Canis lupus familiaris: one gene and its partners. The protein of the gene in region 1 purifies or fractionates together with the protein of each later gene. This does not show direct contact. Links are inferred from orthologs where the notes say so. Each region holds a gene or a part of one and is shown on either strand. Other genes may lie near its edges. The genes, in order: PRDX5, PRDX1 and PRDX2.

Evidence for each region.
Region 2: the proteins of PRDX5 (region 1) and PRDX1 fractionate together in Homo sapiens (co-fractionation; 3 studies listed by BioGRID). This does not show direct contact. The link is inferred for Canis lupus familiaris from reciprocal best matches to the Homo sapiens genes PRDX5 and PRDX1.
Region 3: the proteins of PRDX5 (region 1) and PRDX2 fractionate together in Homo sapiens (co-fractionation; 3 studies listed by BioGRID). This does not show direct contact. The link is inferred for Canis lupus familiaris from reciprocal best matches to the Homo sapiens genes PRDX5 and PRDX2.

Annotation. Positions count from the first base shown.
Region 1 is NC_049239.1:53,258,539-53,264,566, reverse strand, and holds PRDX5 (peroxiredoxin-5, mitochondrial), read left to right. Parts: upstream 1-2,218; 5' UTR 2,219-2,407; coding exon 2,408-2,464; exon of another isoform or gene 2,465-2,508; intron 2,509-2,741; exon of another isoform or gene 2,742-2,965; coding exon of another isoform or gene 2,966-2,980; intron 2,981-4,010; exon of another isoform or gene 4,011-4,025; coding exon of another isoform or gene 4,026-4,070; intron 4,071-4,209; coding exon 4,210-4,344; intron 4,345-4,813; coding exon 4,814-4,945; intron 4,946-5,018; coding exon 5,019-5,057; intron 5,058-5,220; coding exon 5,221-5,282; intron 5,283-5,605; coding exon 5,606-5,711; 3' UTR 5,712-5,863; downstream 5,864-6,028. Other genes in the region: TRMT112 (multifunctional methyltransferase subunit TRM112-like protein), read right to left, coding at 1,413-1,520, 1,610-1,924, 2,015-2,092. UniProt on the Homo sapiens protein: Thiol-specific peroxidase that catalyzes the reduction of hydrogen peroxide and organic hydroperoxides to water and alcohols, respectively.
Region 2 is NC_049236.1:14,928,614-14,934,743, forward strand, and holds the start of PRDX1 (peroxiredoxin-1), read left to right. Parts: upstream 1-2,217; 5' UTR 2,218-2,249; exon of another isoform or gene 2,250-2,509; intron 2,510-4,914; 5' UTR 4,915-4,925; coding exon 4,926-5,031; intron 5,032-6,130. UniProt on the Homo sapiens protein: Thiol-specific peroxidase that catalyzes the reduction of hydrogen peroxide and organic hydroperoxides to water and alcohols, respectively.
Region 3 is NC_049241.1:49,749,163-49,755,263, reverse strand, and holds PRDX2 (peroxiredoxin-2), read right to left. Parts: upstream 4,051-6,101; 5' UTR 3,906-4,050; coding exon 3,807-3,905; intron 3,641-3,806; coding exon of another isoform or gene 3,490-3,640; exon of another isoform or gene 3,325-3,489; intron 3,314-3,324; exon of another isoform or gene 3,155-3,313; intron 2,677-3,154; coding exon 2,565-2,676; intron 2,476-2,564; coding exon 2,322-2,475; intron 1,709-2,321; coding exon 1,586-1,708; intron 1,413-1,585; coding exon 1,282-1,412; intron 327-1,281; coding exon 241-326; 3' UTR 4-240; downstream 1-3. Other genes in the region: THSD8 (thrombospondin type-1 domain-containing protein 8), read left to right, coding at 3,490-3,640, 4,765-4,964; RNASEH2A (ribonuclease H2 subunit A), read left to right, coding at 6,041-6,101.

The DNA of each region.
Region 1 (6,028 bases):
GTGGACAGGTGAACGATTCAGTGGGAGGGAAGTGGGGGGAAGACAAAAGGTGGCCATAGGTGAGGAAGAAAGGGTGGGCCATGGCTCATGGGCAGGAGCAGTGAGTGGTGCTCCAATAAGCCTATCGGATCTGCATCTGGCTCCTCCTCAGGCCCCATCCCACAGTGCTCAAGCAGATGTGGGCTTAGCCATTTCTGGAGATGGTCCATGTCAACAGCATCTGACCCCTCCTTGCAGACTCCGTGCACATTGAGGATGCCGAGGCTGTGGAGCAGCTGCGAGAAGCTCTACATGAGGCCCTGCTGGAATATGAAGCCGGCCGGGCAGGCCCCGGAGGGGGTGCTGAGCGGCGGCGGGCAGGCAGGCTGCTGCTCACACTACCGCTCCTACGCCAGACAGCGGGCAAAGTGCTGGCCCATTTCTACGGGGTGAAGCTGGAGGGCAAGGTGCCCATGCACAAGCTGTTCTTGGAGATGCTCGAGGCCATGATGGACTGAGGCAAGGGGTGGGCATGGGTGGGGGTGCTGGCAGGACCCGCCCGGAATGGGTTCAGCCCCAAGGGGGCAGAGCTGGGGTCTGGGCAGTGCCACAGCCTGCTGGCAGGGCCAGGGCAATATCATCAGCCCCTGGGAACAGGCCCTACGCCCTCCCCTCCTCTCTCCCAGGGGGTCTTAGAAGCTGGGAATGTGTGCGCCCAGGCTCTGGGCACAGTGCTGCCCCTTGCAAGCCATAACGTGCCCCCAGAGTGTCGGGGGCCTTGCGGAAGCCATAGGGGGCTGCAGGGGACATGTGTGTGTGTGTTGGGGGCGGGGGCAGAAGCCTGATCTCAGGGAGGGAAGGGAGTGGAGGCAACAGTCTCCCAGTGGGTGATGCTTTTGCTGCTGCTTAATCCTACCCCCTCTCCAGAGCAGAGGGGGATTTGGAGAGCAAAGGCCCCTGCCCCCTTCGCTCCTCTCCTCATCATTTGCATTGGGCATTACTGCCCCCCCCCCCCTTGAAGCAATAACTCCAAGCAGGCTCCAGCCCCTGGACCCCTGGGGTGGCCATGGCCCCCCATCAGCTCCCACCCAGCCTCCTCAGGGGGTAGTGAGAGCACTGCCTCTATGCCCTGCAGAGCAATAACACTATATTTATTTTTGGGTTTGGCCAGGGAGGTGCAGGGACATAGGGCAAGCCAGGGCCCAGAGCCCTTGGCTGTACAGAGACTCTATTTTAATGTATATTTGCTGCAAAGAGAAACCGCTTTTGGTTTTGAACCTTTAATGAGAAAAAGAAATATATCGAGCTCAAGAACATCGTGTTTCTCGTGTGTCACTGGGTCACGGGTGGGGATACACGACGGACTAGCAAATAGGCTAGATATAAACAGAAACATACACAGTTACAGACTTCAAAATTAGTATCTGGCACGATTAAGTCTCGGTTTCCTCATCACTCAGCAGCATGTTGGGGATCCCGCGACTGATGGGGAACAGACGTCCAGACTCTGGGCACTGCAGGGTGCCCTCCAACACATCCACCTGCGGGGAAGCGGGGAACAGAGCTGAGTACCCGCAGCCTCGGGCTGTGGCTGGGTGGCCGGGGAAGCAAGCGATGGGCTTGCTCTCACCTCCAGCAGCACGTGGTGCATCTGCCTCAGGAATTTCTCATCATGCTCATACCCTTCAATCGGCCCTTTGGGTACCTCGACCAGATGCAACTGTGGGCAAAGGCCTAAGTCATCTCCGGGCGTCCCGCCCCTCGCTCTGGGCTGGCGGTGAGACCACTCCCCCCCGCCCCACTCCCCCGGAAGGTGAACACGGGCGTGGGGGAGGGTCCTCACGGTCTCCGCCGCCTCCAAAAGCGCCGCCCACTCCACCTTGGGTATCATACGCGCCACGAAGTCGGGATTGAACTCCACGGGGTTGATGCGGACCTCGGTGGCCTGCAGGGTGGAGGGCTTCTGTTAGGGACCAGAGCCCGGCTTCTCCATTCCGCCCAGGGCACGGCCGCGAGCCCGCCCCCCCGCCGTTACCTGGAGGCGCAGAGGGAAGCCACGGGGCCCCACCCCCCGCACATGCGAGCTCAGCAGGTTGTGGGTGAGCAGCTTCATGTCGCGGCAACGCGCTTTCCCCAGGCCGGAACCGGAGGAAAGCAGACGCTCCTCGCGTCACTTCCGGAACCGCTCCCGTCTCTGTCCTATTGGACGGCTCGGGCCAGCGGAAGTGGCCGGCATGCTGCAAGTTCCCGAGCAGCCGGGGCGGAGGGGCTTGAAGAGCTTGGTCGGGTCACGCGCTGCTGCCGGAAGCGGCCTGGCAGAGGACTGCGGCGTAGCCCCAGTGGCTTCCATTCACTACAGATCACGCTCAGTGTAGATCACGTGTAAAGCCGCCGCAGCGCAGGGGCCTTTGCTGAATGCAAAATAAACATGCTTTTCTCCTACACGGGCGGCCTGGCACCATCGTCTGCCGCCCCTCGCTTCCGGGTAAGGAAACGCTGCGGTCAATCCGTAAATTACGCCCACCACGAGAGCGACAACCCATCCCTGCACGCAAATAAGCCGCGCGGCTGTCGAAAGCCCCGCCCGCTTGTAACTGCCCTGGTTGTCCAGCCCCAGACGCCCAAGAGCCGAGCGCCCCAGAAGCCCCGCCCCTTGCTCGCGCCCCGACGCCTGCGCAGTGGAGGAGCCCAGCCGTGGGCGGGCCTCGCTGATGCTCCGCCTCTCGCGGGATCCCGCGGGGGCTTATCCTGCTGGGCCCCGCCCCTCGCCGCGCCTGGGCCGCGGGGGCCGGGCCGTGGTGCGCGGCGGGGTCGGCGTGCGGCCGCTTGCGTTGGACGCCCTGACCGGCCCGGTGGGCTCCGGGTTCGTCCCCGCGGCTGCCTTCGGGTCTGCAGCACAGGCAGTGTCGACAGCCGGAGGGTGCGGCAGCGAGGCAGGGACTGGACGCTTGGCGGGGCCCACGGTTTCAGAAGCGCCGCCTCCGCCATGGCCCCAATCAAGGTGACCGCTGGCCGGGCCAGCTTGAGCTCCCCTCCCGCCCGTCCTCCCGGGAGAGAATCCCCCTCCTTCCTGCCCTCAGGACCCCTGCCCGCCGCGCCGGACGCTCCTCCTGCGGTTCTCCCTCAGCCACACCCTTTTGCAGTCTCGCCAGTTTTAGGGGACTTGTACCCCATCCACTGGACAGCCCCAGAGCTCTCGAGCCTTCCCCTCGCCCCCTTCCCATTTCCACCATGCGGCACCAAGATGGGTCTCCACCATCTGTAGGCGTCTCCTCCGCCTTCCGGAACCGGCCCTCTCCTCTGCCGCAGGGCTGCTCTTCAACCCTCCTACGTGCCCCTCCCCTGCAAACCTTCCTGCACGTTCTTGTTATATTTTTGGGGCATCACTCTTCACCCCATCGTCTGGAACAAGTGTTTTCCGTTAGAGCCCCTGTTTTGTCTCCTCCTTTCCGCTTCTCCCGCAGCTCATGCCCACCCTTCTGCCGAGTCTTTCAAACCCTCACCTGGAATGATCCTGGGAACCCTTCCACGTTCTTCTGAAACCTCCTCCTCCTTTATCTTCCTCCCACTCCCTGATTTGTCCTCCCTTCCCGTATTTCCTCTGGCTCCATGAAACATTCACACACTCTTCCTAAGTAGACTAATCCATCCCCTTTGAGAAATTCCTTTTATTTTATTCCCCCTCCCCAACTTTTCACCTTCTGCTGGTCTCCCCTTTTCTCTTCCTGAGCGCTGGACACTCAGACCTGGCCAGGGGCCTCTCCCTCCCTGTTGTCAGCGTCTCCTCCTCACCCCTTAGATAGGCCCCATGCATCTCCTCCCCTGCCTGCAGATCCCACTTCTTTCTGGTAAGAAAGAGACTCCCTGATTACTCAATCCCTTGCAACACCCAGGGAGGCCTCCTCCTCCATTTTCTGTTGTCATCAACAAACCGGTGAAAGGAATAGGGCCATCTTGAAACCTGGAGGATGTGGAGTAATCAGGCGGTGGGGGGAAGAGGGTAGGTAGGGTGGCAGGGAGGGATCGCTGGAAACTGGCTGGTTAGGATGTTACAAGTCTGTCAACTCTGCTCCACTAGAAGGAACTGCCTGGTCTGGTTTAACACCTTTCCTTTGGCCTCTTTACCCACCCCCTCACTCCCCAACTCCTTATTTCCTTGTCTAGCCTATCTCTAGTCATCTTTGCTCACTTTTAAAGTAACCAAAGTAATCATGAAGCCATTCCCTCTAGGTGGGAGATGCCATCCCTTCGGTGACGGTTTTTGAAGGGGAGCCTGGGAACGAGGTGAACCTGGCAGAGCTGTTCAAGGGCAAGAAGGGGGTGCTGTTTGGAGTCCCTGGGGCCTTTACCCCTGGCTGTTCCAAGGTGAGACCACCCTTCTGGGACTCCCTGGTTGGAATCTTGTGTATACATCTGTATTGTTCCTAAGTCCTAGGGCAGCTTGCGACGAGGACACATAGATAAGGTGACAGAAGGCCTATCAGAGCACTCAGAAAATAAGTGGAGGTGGTGAAAAGGTAGTGACATCAGGAATGCAGGAGAAAAGGGTCTTGTGATTAAGTCCCACCTGTCTTATTGATGTTGCTGGTGATGGGCACCATGGATGGGCACCATGGAAGGTGCTTGGGTAAATAAAGTATAGTCATGTCCCTGGGATGAAGTTCATGGTGACTACCGAACACTCGAGTTTGGACCTGAGCTTCCTTGTGGCTTATGCGTTTCTAACGGTCTGATCAAAGATATTCAAAAGGAAATGAGGATTTCCTGGAGATAATGGGTAGGCCAATGAGCAGAGGCAATTATCCCTCTGCTGACCCTTCATTTCCCCTCCTAGACCCACTTGCCAGGATTCATGGAGCAGGCTGAGGCTCTGAAGGCCAAGGGGGTCCAGGTGATAGCCTGTCTGAGCGTTAATGATGTCTTCGTGACTGAGGCATGGGGACGAGCTCATAACTCAGGAGGCAAGGTGAGATGTGGGCCCTGCAGGGGGTCAGGGGCCAGGCAGGGGATTGTTCTTTTGACCTTTACTTTCTCCTTAGGTTAGGCTGTTGGCTGACCCCACTGGGGCCTTTGGGAAGGTGAGTGCACACCAGCAACCCCCACACTAGAGGGTGGTCCCTGTGCCGGGCCTTGGATACAGGAACTGGGAGGGACATGGCTATAATGTGAGGGACAGCTGGTGGGGACAGGGCTTGGTCTGTTCTGGAAGTTTCTAAGCCTTGTCTCTGCTTTTTCTTTTAGGAGACAGATTTGTTACTAGATGATTCATTGGTATCTCTCTTTGGAAATCATCGGCTCAAGAGGTAAAAGTAGGAGGGTCTTCTGTGGGGTTCCCCTGCACCCCTTCGACCTCCATTCCCAGCCTTCAGGCCTAGGCTGTTGTAATTGGCTTGGTGTCTCTCTCTTAAAGATTTACTTATTTTAGAGAGAGCGAGAGCATGCACACAAGTGTGCAGAAGTGAGCAAAGGGAGAGGGAGAGAGAGTCTTAAACAGACTCCATGCTGAGTGCAGAGCCTGATGAGGGGCTTGATCTCATGAACCTGAGATCATGACCTGAGGGGAAACCAAAAGTCAGATGCTTCACTGCACTACCCAAGCGCCCCTGGCCGTCTCTCTTTCTGGCAGGTTCTCTATGGTGATAGAGAATGGCATAGTGAAGTCCTTGAATGTGGAGCCAGATGGTACAGGCCTCACCTGCAGCCTGGCCCCCAACATCCTCTCGCAGCTCTGAGTGCCTGGGCCCAGATATACTCCTTCTACTCTTTCGTGTGTTGCACCTGCCCAGCCCTGGACAAAGGGCCCACTCTGCTCCAACTTCGACGAGGTCCACCCAGTGGGAATTGTGACCAAATTTCTGCAATAAACATTTCAGCTTTTCAATGAGTCCTTGTTTTTGTTTTTGTTTTTGTTTTTAAAGATCTATTTATCTGCGAGAGAGCGCAGGTGTATTGGGGGGTAGTAGGGGGTGGGGAGAGGCAGAGGGAGAGAAGCAGACTCCCTGCTGAGCTTGGAGCCTGGACATAGGGCTCAATCTCATGAACCTGAGAT
Region 2 (6,130 bases), on another chromosome or scaffold:
CCAAACCGCTGAGCCACCCAGGGATCCCTCTTCTGGTTTTTGAATGACACAAATAAGCCCAAGTGCCCCAGTCCAGGCACATGGAAGATACAATAATTTTTTTTTTCTGGCTGAAATAGGACTGTGTGTTGTTGGTTTAACCTGCCCATAGCAATAACCATCCACTATAAAGCTCTGAACTTCTACATTTCCCCTGCTGCCTCTTGAAGGAAATAAATAATGGCCAAATAACTGTTCATTCTCAGGTAGAGAAGGAAACAAACAAAATTATGATTGTTGCTAGATAGGGTGATAAATGCAGAAAAATTTTGAGATGCTCAGGCACCTTGACACAGCACGTTCCCATTATTTTTTTAAAATTTTCTTACTTTTTAAAAAAATTTTTATTTATGATAGTCACACAGAGAGAGAGAGAGAGGCAGAGACACAAGCAGGCTCCATGCACCGGGAGCCCGACGTGGGATTCGATCCAGGGTCTCCCGGATCACGCCCTGGGCCAAAGGCAGGTGCCAAACTACTGCGCCACCCAGGGATCCCTTACTTTTTTTTTTTTTTTTTTTAAGATTTTATTTATTCATTCATGAATGAGGGACACACATAGAGAGAAAGGTGGAGACACAGGCAGGGGGAGAAGCAGGCTTCTGGCAAGGAGTCCAATGTGGGACTGGATCCCAGATCCCAGGATCATTCCCTGAGCAGAAAGCAGATGCTCAATCGCTGAGCCACCCAGGCGTCCCAGCATGTTCCCATTTTTTATCCTGCTATGATACATAAGGCAGTTAATAGGATGGTGGTGGTTGGGGGGTCGTGATAGAGGCAGTGTGGACATAATGTATTTATTACATGCGCCTATTTTATATCGAGTGCTCTGTTATGTCTTAGGGACATGAGGTGTGTGTAACCCAAACCTTACTTTCCAGAAAGTCAATGTAGCAAGAAGAGACAGGCATATAAACATATAAAATAGCTTAAGAGGGCAGCCCCTGTGGCTCAGTGGTTTAGAGCTGCCTTTGGCCCAGGGTGTGATCCTGGAGATGCCTGATCGAGTCCCACTGATCGAGTCCCACGTCGGGTTCCCTGCATGAAGCCTGCTTCTCCCTCTTCCTGTGTCTCTGCCTCTCTGTGTCTCTCATGAATAAATAAACAAAATATATATATTTTTTAAAGAGGTATTTTGTATAGCTTCTGGCCTTACAGGATGTTGTTTTGGGCACAAAGGACGGAATGATAAATTCTGGGGAGGAGCAAAAGCCAGAACAGCTTTCCAGGACTTTTGAGGATGAGCCAAGGTCCGGAACAGTTCCAGAAGTCATGCTTCGGCGGTCTTCAAAGACATTTTCTCTAGGTCTACTAGGAGGGAACAGATTCTTCATATTTGAACAAAAGCCTGAAGTCTTGAAACAGCGACACATTGTTCTGGGTGTTACAATCCAGCTAGGAGCAAGGAAGAATTCTATAATAACAGCTAACATTTCTAACGTATAATAAGAACTAGGAATTGTGCTAAGTAAGCCACAAAGATGATCCCAAGGAATTACTAGTTTTTTTCCATTTTACGGGTGAGAACAATCAAGGCCACACATAAAATGACAATGAGTTTTAACTCAGGAAACAGACTACGGAGCCCCAGTTTTTAAAACCACAAATCAGAGGAGTGAACTGATCAGATTTCAGAAAGATTCCCTCTAGCCGCTGCGTTAGGAGTGGGTGGGAGAAGGAGAGCAGCAATCCTGTAAATCAGAATAATGAAGGAGGTTGTCTAGGTACTGAGGCAGCACTACGGCAGAGGCTGCGGGGATCGGGGTGGCATATGTGAGAAACACTTGACAATTTTAAGTGCTTGATGTGGATTAGACGTAATCCTCCGTGGGGCAAGACCAATACCGCGGTCTGGGTCTTGAGGGCAGGACGCGCAGGAGACCCTCGCAGAGATCCCAGAGTAACAGGGGCATTGGGGCCTCGACACCGCCGCCCTCGGCTCCCCGACCCTAACCGTCGGCAGCAGGGAGGGGGATCCCAACCTTCCGAGCCCGAGCCCGCCCACCGCGAGGGAAAGTGCTGAGTCATTCTGGCGGGGCGCGTTGGCTGGGGCGGGGGCGGGGCCAGATCCCCCTTCCCTCTCCTCCTCCTGCACCCCCAGCCCGCTCTGACTCTCGCGAGAGCCCCGCAGGCTATAAAGGCAGCGCCCCGCGCTCGCCTCACGCGTCTTCTTCCTGACTGGTTATCGGCGGTTAGTCTCCTCAGCGCTGGTGAGAAGGTTCTCCACGCCCGGGTCGTCGTCTTTTCCTGGTTCTCCCAGGGTCTTGCCCTACTTGGCTTGGGTGCTGTGACGGGGGAGGTGGCTGGACGAGGTCTGGCGCTCGAGAGTAGTTAGGCGGTCCGCGCGCCCTCCCTTACGGACGCGGGGACCTGTTTAAACCCTGAGGCTAACGTCGGTTCGAGTTTCCTCTTCCCCCGGCAACCCGAGCGGAGGGCGCTCATTGGCGCGGCGAGGGGGCCTCGTGGTAGTGGTGGGCTCTCCTCAGCTAGGCTCCTTCCGGGCGGGGCGGGCTCAGGAATCTTCTAGAGTGGACCTGGAAACTGACCTGAGGCTACCCGCCTGTCGTGTGGTGGAGGTGATGACTGTTCCCGGCCCTCCGCTGGGCCTACATGGGCAGTTTCCGGTACTGATTTCCTACCCTGGCTTTATTTTTTGCGTTTGTGTAATAGGGTTGTAGTGATCTCAAATTTGTCAAGACTGCTTTTTTTTCTTTTTTTTTTAGGGGGGGCGGCTAGTGCTTTCCTAAGTGCTGTGGTGGGGTTTCTCATGGGAGCGGCAGGAGGGAACCTGAAGCGGGATTTGGGGGCGTGCCTTTAGCCTTGGAAGTTCATGGGCAGATCCACCGAGGCCCACGCCGCCTTGAGGTCTAAGGGCCTTTACCCCGCCGAGTCGGTCTTTAGTGGACGTGAGAACCACGTGGAAAAGCAGGTTTGGATGAGGAGGTCGTTTATGTTAGGATCACACACCCCCTCTATATTTGGTCGCCAAATTGCAACTTGCCTTACTAGGTTTTTTTTTTTTTTTTTAAAAGGCGTTAGCAATAGAAAGTTTGCAATAATAGATGCTTGGTTTTATGCACCAAAAAAGTTTGGGATTTGGGAAATTAGCTTCTTGAGCCTTTCAAACTGATGACTTACTGGTTTACATCTTAATTCCTTAACTTTGTGTTGACCTGAGTGAATCCAGTGCAGCATTGCTTTTTAGCAATGATTTGTTTTGCAGTAAGGATTTTTTTTTAAGGTTAAGTAATCTCTAAATCCAGCATGGAGCTCTAACCCACAGCCCTGAGATAGAGTCACATGCTTCCAACCAACTGAGCCAGCTAGGCTTCCCAGCAATAGACCCTTGTTCCACTTGCTGCTCCAGAATCCTGGCCCTGAGGTCAGAAACCCACCTTTTTTTTTTTTTTTTTTTAAAGATTTTATTTCTTTATTCGTAGAGACAGAGAGAAAGGGGCAGAGGCACAAGCAGGCTCCATGCAGGGAGCCTAACATGGGACTCGATCCAGGGTCTCCAGGATCACACCCCAGGCTGCAGGCGGCGCTAAACCGCTGCGCCATCGGGGCTGCCCAGAAACCTACTTTTGAAAGGACTTCTAGGGCTTAAACACAACCCTTGAAGTTTTGCAATTTAGCAGATGGGAATCATGTCTCTTAAAGACTTGGATTAGGGGGGCAGCCCCTCTGCCTGCCTCTCTCTCTCTCTGCCTCTGAATAAATTAAAAAAAAAAAACAAAAACAAAAACAGAAAACCAGAGTTGGATTAGGGGTGTGCGGTCTCTTGGGCAAATGTACCTGGAGAAAGGTCATGTGGACTTCTTGAATTCTGAAGACAGATAAAGATGCAGTCCAGAGAAAGGGCAACATGACCACTTCTAGAGATCAGACATTCTGTTTGTGGAATTGTTCATTTGGGCTCAGCTTTGATATCGAACCTTCTTTCTCTGGAGCTTTTTGCATAATGAGAGTACAGAAAATGTCACTGCATAAATGATCGTTTAGGAAAAGTAAGAGGTTACTTCAATTTTTAAAAATTGCTGTTTTTAAAGGAAAACAAAAGCTGATGTTCAGAGAAGTATTCTGATTTTTTTTTTAAAGAGTTATTTATTTATTCATCCAGAGAGTGAAGAAAGAGGCAGAGACACAGGCAGAGGGAGAAGCAGGCTCCATGCAGGAAGCCCGACGTGGGACTCGATCCTGGGTCTCCAGGATCACACCCCGGGCTGCAGCCGGCGCTGAACTGCTGCGCCACCGGGGCTGCCCTGATTTTTTTTGTTTTGTTTTAAGAGTGAGTCTTCTAGCGCAGGGGAAGGGAAGAGAGAGAAAGAATTTTAAGCAGGCTCGGTGCTTAGCCTTGAGTTCATGAACTGGGTTTAAATCAAGAGTCAGACGTTTATTTTTTTATTTTTATTTTATTTTATTTTATTTTTTTTTTAATTTTTATTTATTTATGATAGTCACAGAGAGAGAGAGGCAGAGACATAGGCAGAGGGAGAGGGAGAGGGAGAAGCAGGCTCCATGCACCGGGAGCCCGATGTGGGACTCGATCCCGGGTCTCCAGGATCGCGCCCTGGGCCAAAGGCAGGCGCTAAACCGCTGCGCCACCCAGGGTTCCCTTATTTTATTTTTTTAAGAGTCAGATGTTTAAAGGACTGACCCACCCAGGCGCCCTGTAATATTTGGTTTTGTTTCATAAGTTAGAAAGCTCAGTTTTCTGAGCTTTCTCAGATGCGTCTTACTAATATAAAAAAATTAGTATGTATATTTAGGGCCACTGGATAATTCTTTTATTTTGTAGCTAAGTGTCTAGGTAGAAGGGTGTTGGTTACTTAGAAAAATAAGGCTTGTTTCTAATTTACTTCCTCTTTTCTCCAGCCCATAGCAAGATGTCTTCAGGAAATGCCAAAATTGGGCATCCTGCTCCCAACTTCAAAGCCACAGCTGTTATGCCAGATGGCCAGTTCAAAGACCTCAGCCTATCTGACTACAAAGGTAAGAGTAATTATATTAGATTTATTAAAATGGAATTATTTTACCATCTAGGATGGATCATTAGATTTCTGTATATCTGTTAGGTTTGATTGTAAAACGACTTCTCCCTCCTAGGTCAGTCTTCAAAGTAGGTGGCTGTTTTTATGTTGAAGTGATGTAGTGATTACCAACCATGATGACGGATAATCCTGTAGGTTCAGACTGCTTACGGGAAAAGCCCATGCTTTGTTATGCCTGGACATAATAGCTCAATTATTTTCTCAGTACTCCTCAATTCTATTGGAGATACTCCTTGAAAGCTCAAGTCTTGGGGCGCCTGGGTGGCTCAGTTAGGCATCTGCCTTTGGCTTCTGTCATGATCCCAGATCTGGAGCACTTAATCCAGCTCCTTGCTGAGCAGGGAGTCTGCTTCTCCCTCTCTTCCCCCCACCCCACCCCCTTGTGTGCACATACTCTCTGTTCCTTCAAGTCTTTGGAGCTTACACCATTAATTTTTTGAGAGATGTATGTCAGAAAAAAAAAAAAAAGAGATGTATATCAGAGTTGCTGTATTATTAGCAGAGGCTTAGGCATATTCTCCTGACTGTTTTGCCCTAAGAGAAGAGTTGGAACAGTTTTCTTTTCCTGTTAAGTTTCAGGTAGACCTTGGCAATCTGATAAAGCTCTTCCTCTTTTTTTTTAAACCTTGCAGTCCTGGAATGAGGGGAGGGTTTTTCTGAGATAGTTGATGTACAGATTCCTTGAAATGCAAATCTGAAACTCAGGTGTTAAGTGTACCTTTTAACTTAGTGGTGCAGTAATTAGTTCCTGGATTCAGTTTATGGGAGGAACGTGTGACTAAGGTTTCCTAACACATCACACTTGTTTGGAATGAGAAGCAGTTAAGAAGGGGCCCAATGGAGGGAAGAAGCTTCTCTGGCAAACAAGGTAAGTAGCACCACTGGGAGGTGACCTTGGCCCAAGGGTAAAGGCAGGAGGTTTAGAAAGAGCTGTTCTCTGTTCCTCCAGGGCTTGACCTGCTGAGGCTTCAAAGTGCTTGTTAGGTAAAGCCCTGGAGAGGTTGTTTAGATGAGGGAGTTTCTTGTGATTTTGGTTTTCT
Region 3 (6,101 bases), on another chromosome or scaffold:
GACTCCTGTCTGTCCTAGTACTTTATTGGTCACCTTTTGGCCTGGGCCCAGCTAGATGGGCTCCAGGGAGGGGCTCACCATTCACCAGCTCCCAGCTGGGAGAATGAGAAGGCCTTGGACAAGCCCTCCAGGGTCATGGAGTTTAAAGGGGCAGGTCCGGCCTTTCCTGGGTCAGCATGGGGTATCCACGTAGGGGTGTAGGTGGGGGCCAACAGCCCAAGCTTTCCGCATGTCTGCAGTCTAGTTGTGTTTGGAGAAGTATTCCTTGCTGTCGTCCACGTTAGGCTTGATTGTGTCACTGCCTGGCTTCCAGCCAGCAGGGCATACTGTGGGGAGACACAGGGATGCACATGTGAGGCTAGAGCCACATCTTCAAGGTAGGGCAGTACAAGGGGATGAACAGAGGCAAAGCATGAGCCTGAGTAGCAGAAGCAAAAGCCCAGAGCCAAGTGGTACAGGCCCATGACCATACAGCATATTGAGAGAAGTCCTTCAAGCTATAGGATGTTCTGGCTGACATTTTTATTTCTTTTTGGACACCCTCCCCATTGTTTTATAAAGATTTATTTGAGAGAGAGAGAGAGAGCTCGAGCAGGGGGAGAAGGACAGAGAATCCTCTGAGCAGGCTCCCTGCTAAGTGTGGAGCCTGACAAGGGGCTGGATCCCAGGACCTGAGACCATGACCTGAGCCAAAACCAAGCGTCAGATGCTTAACTGATGGAGCCACCTTGGCACCCTTCTCTCTGACCCCTTTGGATCCTATTTCTCCTTCAGCCATAGATCCACTGGACTTCGAGGGCCTGTGACCAGGCTGTGTCCTCCCACGAGAGTACTCTGATCCAACTAATATTTTTTTAAAGATTTATTTATTTATTCATTCAGAGAGAGAGAGAGGCAGAGACACAGGCAGAGGGAGAAGCAGGCTCCATGCAGAAAGCCTGATGTGGGACTCGATCCTGGGTCTCCAGGATCACACCCCAGGCTACAGGCGGCGCCACACCGCTGCGCCACCGGGGCTGCCCTGATCCAAATAATATTATCCGAGCTTGCCTTGGTACATGCCTTCTCAAATACCTTCTGTAAATCTGTTAACTCCTGGCTCCCCACCCTCATATTAGGGTATCTCCCCCACCAGACTAGAAAGGTCCTGCAGACAAGGCCCCGAACTGAGTCTTCTTTGGGGCCCTCATATCCATCCCACACAAGTGATAGAGCAGTGAGTGTCTGCATGAGGGCTGAGTATGTACCCACAGGTGAACACAGGTGAATGTGTGTGCTCACCTTCCCCGTGCTCATCCGTGTACTGGAAGGCCTGAACCAGCCGCAGAACTTCATCCACGGAGCGCCCCACAGGCAAATCATTGACAGTGATCTGGCGAAGGACACCCTTGCCATCGATGATAAAGAGGCCCCTGAAGATATCAGGGTTCATGGTGAGGAACTGGGAGTTCCCGCTGCCAGGGCCAGGGGAGGGAATAACACCTCCCTACCAGCCGGCCACAGGGCTGGGGGGCAGGGAAGACACTACCCAAGCATTGTCCCCTGCCCCTGAGGACCGGGGGCTTCTCAAGGGCCCCCACAGTACCTGTAGGCAATGCCTTCATCTTCCTTCAGCACACCATAATCTTCAGATAAACTTCTGGTTACATCAGCCACCAGGGGGATGTTCAGGGGGCCCAACCCTCCTTCCTTCCTGGGAGTGTTGATCCTAGGGGTGTAAGAGACAGCGCTGGATCCTCACCCCGGGGGCTTAGGTATGATAAAGACTGGAGGAGAGGTACTGGAGCTGAGCGATAAGGGGCTTTAGAGCAAGGCTCTAGGATCCCCACCCACTCCACCCTCAAGAGGCTGCAGGGGCTGTTTCCCACAGCTGCGAACACTAAGCCAAGGCTCTAGCTCCAGTCAAGGGTGTTCACATGTGCTGGTGACCTCCCACAGCTCAGGGCAGAAAGCCTGCCTTACAGCCCCCCATCCTCCTCTCTAGTTCTGTGTGTTGGGGCCCAGCCCTTCACCAACTAGAACTGGAGTTTCCACCTTCTTGAAATAGCTATTGGAAGGGAAGCTGTGTAGCCCTAAGTGAGGTAAAGCATCTCCAACTCCCTGGGCCAAGCAACTAGTTTTCAAATGCTAATTAGGCCATCATCATTAAGGACTTGGGCGTTCTGAATGCTATTATTTTCAAGACGGCGGGGGGGGGGGGGGGGGGGGGGGGGGGGGGGGGCGGAAGGAAGGCACAGACGTTGAGCAACAGCCCCAAGAAGGATCCTTGAGGAGAATGTAGGCCCGGTGACATCCTCCCTCCCTGCGGGTCCCGCTCATACCAAGCCAGGTGGGTGAACTGAGAGTCCACGGAGACCCCCAGGACCTCACAGCCCAGCTTGCGGAAGTCCTCGGCATGCTCGCTGAAGGCGATGATCTCCGTGGGGCAGACGAAGGTGAAGTCCAGCGGGTAGAAAAAGAGGACCAAGTATTTCCCTGGGGAAGGAAGCGGGGATAGACAAGGAATTAGGCCTCTAACGCCTGGGTCCCACCCCCACCTGGGCCCACTCTCGGCTGCCCCTCACCTTTGTAGTCGCAAAGCTTCACCTCCTTGAAGGCGCCATCCACCACGGCGGTGGCCTGGAAGGGCGGGGCGGGCTTTCCGATGTGCGCCTTGCCAGAGGTCATGACTGCAAGCTGAGACACCCCCCCGCCCCCCGCTTGGTCAGCGCGCCCGGGAAGACCCTCTGTCGTTCCTTCCCAAGGTCATGCTGCGTGCTGGGCCCGGTTACTGAGAGGCAGAGGCCGCAGCACTACCCCGCACCCTCCCGGGTACCGGGCTGCGCGGCCTGGACACTGCAGGAGACCCGCCCCCCTGACCAGCACTAGCGGCCGGGCCGCAGGCGCCGGGGCCCCCCATTAGCGTCTCGGCTTGAGCTCCCTGGCACCAGCCCACCGCTCCGGGAGGAGCCCCCGCGAGCCGGGGGTGGGGAGCTCGCCGATGCGGCCTGTGTTGCAAGGCCGAGGCCTCGGTTTCCCCTGCAAGGACAAAGGCGGCCACTCCGGCGGGCGGAAACAAAGGCTGCAGCGCTAAGGTCTGGACCCGGCCGGAGCCGCTCCGGGGTGGGGTGGGGGGGGGGCTTCCCAGAGCCCGGTGCCCTCTAGGTGTCCATACCTGCGTGGGCAAGGGCGGCGCGCACGGGCTGGCAGACGCGCGAACACACGTTCTCAGCGCCGAGCGCGCCCTGGGCCTGGGTGTCTTTTATGCGCGGCCCGAACCATGACGCAGAGGGCGAGGGGGGGTGGGCGGACGAGCGGAGCGGTCGGGTCCACTGCAACCGCGGGGGGGTGGGGAACCAGGCCGGCCGGGTCCACGCGCCCGCAAGCGGCGGGAGGAGTCGGGGAACGCGGGCCCCGACCACTACCACCGCTGGCGGGGGGTGACGCGGCCACCGCATCCCCCGCGAGGAGCTCCTCCTCGGAGCGCGCCCGGGTCGGTTGGAGTCCGGCATGGCCCGGAGCCCGGCGGACTTACTGCTGCCGCCTCTGATTCTCCTGCTTCTGGGGACCCCTGCTAGGGTCTCCCCCAACTACAATTACTTCGGCGAGAAGAGCGAAGGCGACCTCTGGGAGGAGCTGCGGCTGCAGCATCAGGAAAAAGGTAACCGCACGCTGCGGGGGTGATGGTGCGGAAAGGTGCCCTATTGCCCCACTTTGCCAGCTGGCTGCAAACAGACCCTCGTCCAGGGACTTCAGATCTCTCCCCGTCTGCACACTGGCTGGCCCCCTTGGGCTGGTTACTTTTCTCCGAGGCTCAGTTTTCTTACCTGTAAGTTGAAATAGAGACTGACTTTACACCGCTTACAGGGGCAGAGGGGGATATGGGTAGACAATAAATCCAGAACCAGACACATCCATAAACTCATGGATGAGCGCTAGGAAGTATAGGGATAGAGGAAGAAAGGGGCGGGTAAATGTCTCAAGTCGGAAAAGGCCTGACGGAGCAGATCGGTAACCAATGCAGCAGGAATCCAGCAAAAGCGAAAAATACAAAGATTGAGGGAGAAGAGTGTGCCAGGGAATGGGAACAGCAAGTGCCAAAGCCAAGAGGCCAGGCGGAGGGAAAGAAAGAGGCCAGTGTTGTCTTGGGAAGGCATGAAGTGTTAGGACTTTGTGAGCTGCAGAGTTGGGATAAGACCAGTTTCCTAGGGGCATAGGGAGGAGTCCATAAAAGAACATTGTAAAAGAGCCTCTGATAAGCACTCAGAAGGTTGGAGCTGCTTGAAAAGTGGTCATTATAGTTGTTTTTGTATTACCTGCTAGCACATCACCAGAGACTTTCAGTACCTTCATTATATTATGCCAATTATGTCACTTAATTTACCACCTGGCATCCCTGCTGGTTAGGTGGCACTATGCCTACTGAACAGGCCCATTATCACCACTCCCCCAAGACAGGAGTCAGCTTCAGATGGTGGGCACCAAAGGTGTTGTATCACACTCCCAACTGGACAGGCTGGCACAGGTGGGAAGTGTCAGTTTGCAATTCCTCTGGGCAACACACCAGATGTATCAGCTCAAGGGGTGGCTTGCTTTCTATAGGTCTCAGTTTCCCCACCTGGGAATAATGGGAAAATTAAATTAGATCATCTATGGTGGAGTGCTTGGCACAGACGCAGAGCCCAGCAAACAGGAGATGTTGTTGTTAGTGTATTTATCTGCCTCTCTTCCTAGAGGAGGGCATGGCGGGGGTAGGTTCCCCCCTACCTGGCCCTCTATCCCTAGACTTGGAGGACTCGATCCTTGGCCCCTGGGGGAAGTGGCGCTGTTTCTGCGACCTGGGCAAGCAGGAGCGCAGCCGCGAGGTCCTGGGCACGGCGCCGGGTCCGGTGTTCATGGACCGCGAGAATCTGGTGCAGGTGCGGCCCTGCAGGCAACGGGATTGTTCATCCTGCAAACCAACGGATTGCGACTGGAGGCCCTGAACCCGGGTGAGAGACTAGCGCAGAGGAGGCGGGGCCAGGGCAGGTGGTCTAGTCCGGGGTTGGGAGTCCTCAGGGCCTGGGATGAGGCGAGAGAAAAGGCGGGGCGTGGGGGGTGCGGGCAGGAGAGCCTTTAGGGATGAGGCTTAAAGATGGTGGGGAAAGGTGAGCTGAGTCAGGAGCCGTGAGCCCCACTGATACCCGGGGAGAAAGGAAGAAAGCTAGTCATGGGCCGGGAGGGGGGGATCAGAGATGGAGGAACTGTGACCCTGAGGAAGGGACATGAGCCTGATGAGGGTCAAGGACCTATAGGGTGACGATGTGAGCCCCTTTGAGACTCGAGAACTGGGGGACATGAACCCTCAACTGGGGGTAATGGCCCTGCCTTGTGGGCTCAGACTCTCAGCAGAAGCCTATTGAGATCTGGGATCACAGTTGGGAGGGGGTGGGTGGAGGAGGCCTAGCCCCAGTTAGAGAGAGGTTAGGAAGCCGGGAAAGGGAGGGCGAGAGTCTGGGTGAGGTACCGAGAGAGGGAGCTGGACAGCAAATCTGAAGGCCTGAGCCCAGTGGAAGTAGGAATACCTGGTCCGGAGGGCTTAGCCTGTGTGGAATGGCAGGGACAGGGACCAGAGCCAGCATCCAGATCGGGGACCGGGACCCAGTGATGTGGGCACTGGCGGTAGTCTGGCAGTATAGTGATATTTGACCTTCTAGGCCCTGGCTGGGCCTCGGCCTCCAAGGCCTGCGTCAGTTTCCCACTTTTATTTCCCTATCTCCTAGCAGCCCCGACGGGCGGGGCGTCAGGGACTCCGGGGCGGAGCCTGGAAGGCGACCCCGCCCACCCCGTTCCCCCGAAGGAGCTCGGCGGTCGGCCTTGGGAACTACAATTCCCAGGAAGCCGCGCGGCAGGAGTTTCGGTGGCGGCTGCGGAAACGTCAACGGTGGCCGGAGCGTCGGGGGCGTGTCCCGGGCACCGATTGGTCGGGAGCCAGAGCCGCTTCGGGGCCGGCGGAAAACGCGCGCCTAGAACCGCTCCTGTAGACCTGGTTCTTGCGGTCGGTGGCGGCGGCAGAGACGGCATGGATTTCAGCGAGCTGGACAGAGACAACACGGGCCGCTGTCGCCTGAGCTCGCCTGTGC